Linked DNA regions of Saccharomyces cerevisiae S288C. The protein of the gene in region 1 purifies or fractionates together with the protein of each later gene. This does not show direct contact. Each region holds a gene or a part of one and is shown in the gene's direction. Other genes may lie near its edges. The genes, in order: HEK2 and NAB6.

Region 1 (3,737 bases):
ATACGGTATACAAAGGGAAGGAATCGTCTGGATGTGTATTAGTGTTGCTGTTATTATTGGTCTCATTGTTGAAGGACGACATTATTTCTGAAGAATACAAGGTCTCTCCAAAAACCCTAATAATTACCGCTAAATATGCCTGTCAATCGGATGAAGGGAAGTTTCAACCTCAAATGTAAATAAATAGATGTTTAGCGTTTTAGAATAAATAAGTAAATAATTTGATTTTCTATAAAGATGTTAATGCGCCAATACGCGCCGACGGGGTAACGCATTAAAATAACATGGTATTTTCGTTTCATTACAAAAAAAGCACTATATGTACTAATAATTATGCTACACTTGTGTTTATATTGCCAGCGTCGATGTTGATGACAACGCAGAGTTCATACGGTTTTGGTTTTGGGCTTCACTTGTCTCAGTAGGTTGAGGGTTTGTATGAAGTTTCAGAGGCTCCGTTAGTAAATGACCCATTCTTTCTATCTTGGTCCTGAGATAACCTTCTATCTCCTTGGAGTCTATGCCTTCACTGGAGTTTGTCCAGTGTATGGGTACCATAGGCACTCGTTCAACGCACTTAAGGTAAGGCGCATGATCTACCTGTTTTATCTTTTCCGGGTTATTTGTCAGCAGCCTGACATTACCGATGCCAAGATCCAGCAAAATAGCCTTACCCAGCGAGAAGTCCCTAGCATCCACGGGATGTTTCAGCATTAAGTTGGCCTGCACTGTGTCAGCACCTAAGTCTTGCAGGTTGTAGGCCTTGAGTTTCTCACCTAACCCGATGCCACGACCCTCTTGTCTTAGATACACGATAACACCATGGCCGTTTCCACCTTTGATGTTGCTTGTGGGTTCGTGGTCGCAAGCGATAAGCCTACCGGCCCTATCGAATTGTTCACCACAATCACAACGGGCGCTCCATGCGTTTTCACCGGTGTAACATTCAGAATGGATCCGTACCAGCGTGTCGTTATGGGCGTCCCATGTAGTGGCTTTGGAAGCTAATAACTCACCTGTACTATCATCAAACTCCAGAGCTAATCCGAGTCTATCGTCTTCGTCTGCCACAGTTCTGCCGGGATACAGTTTGCCAATATAAGCGCCCCTGATCATTCTATCTTGTTGCGTCTCGCACTGTCTTCTACGGAATAGCGAGCGCGACCGTATGTCTTCACCAAACACAATGGCTAGATGTTCCTTGTTGTCCCTGTTGTTACTGTAAAGATGTAAAAAGATATCCGGACCCTGTGTGGTTGGGATACGAGCTCTTGCGACACATTGTACTAGAGGCAAGCCGCCATCGCCGTTCCTGCCATCACCCGTACCACTAACCTCGTATTTGCTGCTATCCTGTTTACTGTTGTCGTAGTTATCTATGGTCATCCTGTAGGTTTGTTGTAGTTTTATGTACGCCACTTTTTGTAATGACTCAATTATTGTCCACGCCAGCACAGCAACTTCTTTATATATACTATAGCGGCGCTGGCGCTCACCCCACAAGAGCGTCCGACTAATTTCTGACAAATCGTAAAAAGAAAAAGAAAAACTCAAAGGAAAAAGAAAAAGTCTCACCCTACACAACTTGTTTTCAAAAACGGTATAGACCCTACTATTTCTGTTTTAGCCCTATGCTAAGTCTAGACATTACCCTATCCCTTTTAACGAAAGCCCTTTTGTTTTTTTTCTGTGTGTCCGGCCGCTCAGCCAAACAACAAACAAGACTATAATCTGGAGCATAAGTACCCGAGCATATATAACTACTTGGCATACGAAGTAAAAGCATATTGCTCCCCACTCCTATCGCGCGTCCCCTGTACAACAAAGCATCAACTTATCGGGTAACTTAGAGACAGCATTAGTATATATACCAGCCATGTCACAGTTCTTCGAAGCTGCTACTCCCGTTGCAATTCCCACAAACAATACCAACGGCGGCTCCAGTGATGCCGGCAGCGCCGCCACTGGCGGCGCCCCCGTTGTTGGCACCACCGCTCAACCCACCATCAATCACAGGCTTTTGCTGTCATTGAAAGAGGCTGCCAAGATCATTGGCACTAAGGGCTCCACCATCTCACGCATAAGAGCTGCAAACGCCGTCAAGATCGGTATTTCTGAAAAGGTGCCCGGTTGCTCTGACAGGATCCTGTCCTGTGCTGGGAACGTAATCAATGTGGCCAATGCCATTGGTGATATTGTTGACGTGCTTAACAAACGGAATCCCGAAAATGAGGACGCAGCTGAGGGCGAAGCGGAAGAGCACTACTACTTCCACTTTTTGAACCATATTTTACCAGCTCCCTCAAAGGACGAGATCAGAGATCTGCAGCAACTGGAGGACATCGGTTATGTGAGGCTCATTGTGGCCAATTCCCATATCTCATCGATTATCGGGAAAGCAGGCGCCACCATCAAGTCCCTGATCAATAAGCACGGCGTTAAGATCGTGGCTTCCAAGGACTTCTTACCTGCTAGCGACGAGAGAATTATCGAGATCCAGGGTTTCCCAGGATCCATCACCAATGTACTTATCGAAATTAGCGAGATCATCTTGAGTGACGTTGACGTCAGATTCAGCACAGAAAGATCTTATTTCCCTCATCTGAAAAAGTCCTCCGGTGAGCCAACTTCCCCTTCTACCTCATCTAACACTAGGATCGAATTGAAGATTCCAGAACTGTATGTAGGCGCCATTATTGGCCGTGGAATGAACAGAATTAAGAATTTGAAAACTTTCACAAAAACCAATATTGTCGTGGAAAGGAAGGATGACGATGATAAAGACGAAAATTTTAGAAAATTCATAATCACAAGTAAATTTCCTAAGAATGTCAAACTTGCTGAGTCCATGCTTTTGAAGAACCTGAATACTGAAATTGAGAAACGTGAAAACTACAAGAGAAAATTGGAAGCTGCCGAAGGAGATGCCACTGTTGTTACTGAACGCTCTGATTCTGCTTCTTTCTTGGAAGAGAAGGAAGAACCTCAAGAGAATCATGATAACAAAGAGGAGCAGTCGTAGTATATACGTGTGCGTGCGCACGTCCCACACAGACAAAACAAACTATCATCTTAACGAATAATGTTGCATCATTACTAGTTTAAACTGTATTTTTATTAAAGGGAAAAAAATGATTCAATATGTATATATTTATTCATGTATATGTATTTTGAATTAAAAAAAAACGTTTTATAAATACTCAATAAAGCCGTTGTATTTTCTTTATTACTATCGAAATTCTTGCTTTAAACATTTCGCGCATCGCCGGCTAGAGGCACAGAGAGGGAAGGGGAAAATAACATGAAAAAATCGTAAGTTTCTAGGCAATGGTATAAACAAATAAACAATAAACATGCAATTACAGCTCTAGAACACATATTATCTTCATGGATGAATGATAAACTCCAAGAAGAGCATAACGAAAAAGACACCACTTCACAAATTAATGGTTTCACGCCGCCGCATATGAGTATAGACTTTCATTCAAATAACAATAGCAATATCATCGAGACTATTGGCGTTTCCAAAAGATTAGGAAATTCTGTATTAAGTGAACTGGATTCTAGAGCTAGCTCAAAATTTGAATTTTTAAAAGATCAATCCGAACAACAATACAACGGCGACAAGAACAATGAACCAAAATCGGGCTCGTATAATATTAATGAGTTCTTCCAAGCAAAGCACGACTCTCAATTTGGCCAGATGGAGTCGCTAGACACACATTATACCCTTTTAC
Region 2 (5,950 bases), on another chromosome or scaffold:
TTCACCTAGTGAAGATGGCCCAGCACATCAAAAAATACACAGAGACCAATTAAGTGTGGATCAAATCAAGAAAATCAGAGAAGAACGTGCTCAGAAGAGACAGGTACGTAGGAACTCTCTAATATCCCAAGGGAAGGACCCTGACTTCCCAACGCCTGACTTACAATTCATTGAAAGACCATTCCTCCCTATCAACCATGATAATTCGAAAGGTCTTACGCCAGCGACCATACAAGTCACCCAAGATTCATTGGACGTTAAAATAATGACCTATAATACTCTAGCACAAACCTTGATTAGGAGAGATTTTTTCCCAGAAAGTGGACCAGCGTTAAAGTGGCATAAGAGATCAAAAGTTTTGGTCCACGAATTGAAAAAGTACAGGCCTGATGTAGTATCGTTGCAGGAGGTCGATTACAATGAACTCAACTTCTGGCAGGAGAATTTCCATAAGTTAGGGTTTGATGTGATTTTCAAAAGGCATGAAGGGAAAACTCATGGACTACTAGTTGCATGGAACAATAAAAAATTCCAGTTAGATAATGATTGGATGCTGGACTACGATAATATATTGGCGGGAAATGTCATTTCAGCAAGAACAAGAACTAAAAATATTGCCCTTATTATATCGCTATATTTCAAGGGTATAACAGATTCATCATCAAGAGGAATTATCGTCGCAAATACACACCTATTTTGGCATCCCTTTGGGGTATTTGAAAGATTAAGGCAATCTTACTTGGTTTTACAAAAGATCCAGGAAATTAAAGCATGTTCCAAATATAATGGCTGGCATAGCCTACTGATGGGTGATTTCAATACCGAACCTGAAGAGCCACCGTACTTGGCCATAACGAAAAGACCACTGATATTAAAAGGCCCAATAAGAGCTATGGTGGAATGCTCACTAGCGTATCGGTATTCAAAAAAAAGGAATGGAGAAGAAAGTGACCAGGATGATGAAGAGTGTGATGAAAAGTCTAGGGGCGAAGGCCATTCAGATCAACCACAAAACCCAAAACCAGAGAGCTTTACAGCCACAAAGGAAGAAAAGGCTCTGGTAAATCAATTAGTTGCGTTGCATAATTCACTACATGTGAAAGGCGTATCTTTGTATGGGATTGGCTACGGTAAAGTGCATCCTGAAAATGCTAACGGAAGCCACGGCGAACCGGGACTCTCAAACTGGGCCAATACATGGTGTGGATTATTAGACTACATATTTTATATCGAGGGTGATCATAATCAGGACACGCGTCAGAAAGAGCCTCTGAATGCTTTTGAAGGAAATAACAACGTAAAAATAATCGGATATCTGAGGATGCCGTGCGCACAAGAAATGCCCAAACACTCCCAACCTTTCGAGGGAGAATATGCTAGTGATCACATTTCCCTAATGTGCCAAATACGCTTGTTTTTTGGGGGGGAGAAAGTGCATAGCTTAAAATAAAGAAACAATATATATAAACAACCTACATTTGTGTTTGAAAGACAGTAATCAACGCTTCGATGGTCACTGGGATTTTTCTTTCAATTTAGCGTCACTTTCACCTTATTCACAGCTTTTACGTGCTATTTTTGGTCACCCTTCCCCTTTCGTTGCGCCTCAACGGGCTAAAAAAAAAAAAATAAAATCAAGCATAGAAACACCACAACAAACCTGCCCTTTTTCCTTGTTTCAGGTTACGTGAAAAGCATCCAGAGAAGATATCCCAAAGACTGAAGAGGTGTAGTTGGCTCATTCACGTCGTTCGTTTATATTATCAAGGAAGGGGTTTTTGATCGGCTCGAACAAGACTCGCAAGAATCCGTTTTCTATTGTTTTTTTTGAGGATTCCAATATGTCAAATTCCAATTCAAAAAAACCTGTTGCGAATTACGCATACCGTCAACAGCAAGATTATAATGGGATGAACGCCATGGTGGGAAATCCAATGATGTATCATCCTGTTGATTTCGTAAACGGTGCCGGCCAATATGGTCCTTCTCAACACCCAGCATATTACACCAACTCACCATTACCTAATATTCCACCAACACCTTTTGATACTGCATACGGTGCCAGTCTTTTTCCATCTCACCTATTGATGGGATCTCCATTTGTTTCCTCGCCTAACATGCAAAGTGGCTATAATTCTGCAAGATCATCTAATCTCAAAAGAAAGGCTTATTCGAGGCCCGTTTCTAATCATAACGGTTACAACGGAAACAGTAACAGTAACCAAAACAATACTAATAACGGAATGGTAACACCCTCGAACTATTATAGAATGGGGAGAAATTCTTTCTCGAGGAACAACAACAGTACGAGGAATGTTACTCACAACAACAATAAGGGGTGCGACACCCGGAACAACAGTGGAAGAAGAACATTCGCAAGGAATAACATTTTCGACGACATACTTCCAGAAATGCTTTTACAAAGACCCTTTTGTATTAATTACAAGGTTCTACCGACTGGTGATGATGCTTATAGAACTAGGTCGCTGCTTATTGAAAATGTGGATCATTCTATTGATTTACACTCTATAGTCAAAAATTTTGTCAAATCCAATACTCTGGAAAGTGCCTACTTAATTGAAGGAGGGAAGAGCGATGATTCAAAAGATGTAGAGACTAAAAATCTATCCATTCTAATAAGCTTTCTAACCAAAGGCGACTGTTTGAACTTTTACAATAACATTTTACAAAGGTTATCTGAATTCAAAACATTTTTGAAATCTGAAGCACTAAATCTGAAATTTGTTTGTCTAAACTATGATCCCAAATGCCTCCCTACCTTTATTGAGAGTGAAGCGTTAACAGAAAACGCTGAAGAAGCCGACATTACCAATGGTTCAACAATGATCAGTGCTTCGCTGCATCATAATATAGCGAACAAAGATGCTACAAGGTCGATTATAATTGAATTCAAAAGCCCCGTGGAGAAAAGCGATTTATTCAAAAAGAAATTACAATTTTTGGACAGGTCAAAAAACAAAAGATACATTTTGGAATCTATCGATTTAGTGAACACAGATGTACCTTCCAATCAATTTCCTGAAAATTACGCCGTTTTAACCTTTTTGAATATCTCTATGGCTATTGAAGTTCTCGATTATTTGAAAAAATACTCCAAAAACTTAGGCATTTCTAAATGTTTTTACGTATCCCTAGCCCCGTTGGTAGTTAGCTCAGCCAGATCTTCGGTTGCTAATATTTACGAGGGTAAAACGAGCACACATCGTTTATCGGTGCCTTCTGTTACTGCTGGGAACAATAACGATAGCAACAACAACGGAAACAATAATAAAAGTAATATGAGTGGTATCACCACACTCAATAATAATAGTAGTATTGGTGTTTCCGTATACGGTCACTCTAATATGAGTTTAACCAGTCTGTCATCATCTGTATCTTTAAATGAAGAGATTGATATGCTTGCGACGAAACTTCAAGGGGTAGAACTTGATGGGACTTATTTAGAAATCAACTATCGCGACTATCAAACACCAACTATTGAAGAACACTCTACTCACTTGAGCAATGTCAAAATTTCAAAGACAACAGAAAACTCTAGGCAATTTTCTCAAGATATCCCATCACCTTTGCCATTAAATGAACATATGTTTATGAATGATTCTAATCAGTCCAATGGAGCGATAATACCTCAACAGTTAATAGCCACACCTTCTCCGGTATCCCCCAATTTGCAAATGAATCAAAGGGTGTTGCCGAATCCAATAACTCAAAGTTTGGAGCAAAATTTCAACGTTTCGGCCAAAGTGGCATCATCCATGGGTTCAGACATAGGCAATAGAACAATTTATATAGGAAACATTAATCCAAGATCAAAGGCGGAGGATATCTGTAATGTCGTGCGTGGAGGAATCCTTCAGAGCATTAAGTACATACCGGAGAAGAAGATATGCTTTGTTACTTTCATCGAAGCTCCATCCGCTGTACAGTTCTATGCAAATTCATTTATTGATCCAATAGTGTTACATGGGAATATGTTGAGAGTTGGATGGGGGCATTATTCTGGTCCATTACCGAAATTAATCTCGTTGGCTGTTACGATCGGGGCAAGTAGGAATGTCTACGTAAGCCTACCAGAGTTTGCATTTAAGGAAAAGTTTATTCACGACCCTCAGTACAAAAAATTGCATGAAACACTATCTTTACCAGATGCGGAACAACTAAGAGAGGACTTTAGTACCTATGGTGATATTGAGCAGATTAACTATTTGAGTGATAGCCATTGCTGTTGGATAAATTTCATGAATATATCTTCTGCGATTAGTCTTGTTGAAGAAATGAATAAGGAATCCACAGTACAAAATGAATCCGGTGAAGTGACGCTTAAAAGGGCGACTGAGGAAAAATTCGGTGGCCGTTATAAGGGCCTTCTGATAAACTACGGCAAAGATCGTTGTGGCAATATAAACAAAAATTTGATAGCAGGTAAAAATTCAAGATTCTATAAGAAAGTTAAAAGACCGAGCTATAATATACGTTTGAGTAAGTTGGAAGAAAAGAGGAGGCAGAATGAAATCGATGAAAAGGAAAAGGCTTTTGATAAACCCTTGAACTTGGAATCCCTAGGAATTAGTCTGGACGCACATAAGGACAACGGCGGTGGTGAAACAGGAACTGCAAATAATACTGGGCATGAAAATGAAAGTGAACTAGAGGCTGAAAATGAAAACGGTAATGAGACTGGAAGTTTCGGTGGACTGGGTCTCGCTGTGGCGAGCTCTGACGTCAAACGTGCGACATCGGATGAAACTGATTATGAAGATATATTTAACAAGTCATCGGGATCTTCCGACTCGTCATCAGACGTCGAGGTCATTATGCACTCCCCGAGCGATCCTGAATACGCTTTAAAATCACAAACTCTAAGAAGCTCGAGTCAGACCGTCATTAATAGTAAGAGACCAGTAAAGATAGAAGACGAGGAAGAAGCCGTAGGAATGTCACAGCTCAATTATAGGTCGTCATTAAGACAAGCTCCTCCAAGAGCTCCCTCAACTTTGTCATATAATCACTCGAAGAACAACGAAACGCCAATGCAAGATATTTTCACAAATGGCGAAACAGCAAATAACAGAAAGAAGAAGAGAGGATCTTTTGCAAGGCATAGAACGATACCAGGATCTGACGTCATGGCCCAATACCTTGCACAAGTGCAACATTCGACATTTATGTATGCAGCCAATATTTTGGGCGCCTCTGCGGAAGACAACACGCATCCTGACGAGTAGTATAGCTGTGCTGAGCCTGAAGTATAATGCATATCCATCGGACTATTTAGACAAAGCCCAAGGAAGCCTAAGGCGGCCTGCCAAGGTGTTTCTCCCTTTTTTTCTCCGATTTCTTTGTATAAACTAAATAATATAGTGATTACTAATGGAATGGCGGTATTATGCACCTAACCTGTTCATTCTGCCACAGATTACGTAAGCGATTTATTGCCGGCACTTGTTGTCTTAATGACCGAGTCACCAATGTGGAACGATAATTTTCTCTGACTCAAACCTGTTAATTTTTTTCTACTTCGTTTCGTTAGCGACGACGTCAAGCCGCAGGATCCTGTCTGCCTTGACCTCTTCTCTACCTTCAGAACTTACACTTTTCAGGTAAGATGACCTTTATATAAAAGTTGACACTATTACAGTTGTTTATAAACGTCTGAAGAATGAGACGTTTTTATAAAATGAATAAAATGCATATTCTAAGTTTAAAACAACATTTTCAAAGTGTACGATTGTAAAAAGAGAGGCAATTAGAGAATCTCAAACAGGTAATAATAATGGGCAATCAGTCATTAGTTGTGCTTACGGAAAGTAAGGGTGAGTATGAGAATGAGACAGAACTACCTGTTAAAAAATCGTCACGAGATAATAATATCGGAGAATCTTTAACAGCAACAGCTTTTACGCAGTCTGAAGATGAAATGGTAGATAGC

What was found.
Region 2: the proteins of HEK2 (region 1) and NAB6 purify together in Saccharomyces cerevisiae (affinity purification with mass spectrometry, with the first as the bait; 2 studies listed by BioGRID). This does not show direct contact.

The regions. Positions count from the first base shown.
Region 1 is NC_001134.8:158,308-162,044, forward strand, and holds HEK2 (Hek2p), read left to right. Parts: upstream 1-1,876; coding exon 1,877-3,022; downstream 3,023-3,737. Other genes in the region: STU1 (Stu1p), read right to left, coding at 1-82; RIB1 (GTP cyclohydrolase II), read right to left, coding at 349-1,386; SHE1 (She1p), read left to right, coding at 3,392-3,737. UniProt on the Saccharomyces cerevisiae protein: RNA-binding protein involved in the correct localization of transcripts in the cell. RNA localization is a widespread mechanism for achieving localized protein synthesis.
Region 2 is NC_001145.3:32,402-38,351, forward strand, and holds NAB6 (Nab6p), read left to right. Parts: upstream 1-1,841; coding exon 1,842-5,246; downstream 5,247-5,950. Other genes in the region: NGL3 (3'-5' poly(A) RNA exonuclease), read left to right, coding at 1-1,450; ATR1 (borate transporter), read left to right, coding at 5,795-5,950. UniProt on the Saccharomyces cerevisiae protein: RNA-binding protein that associates with mRNAs encoding cell wall proteins.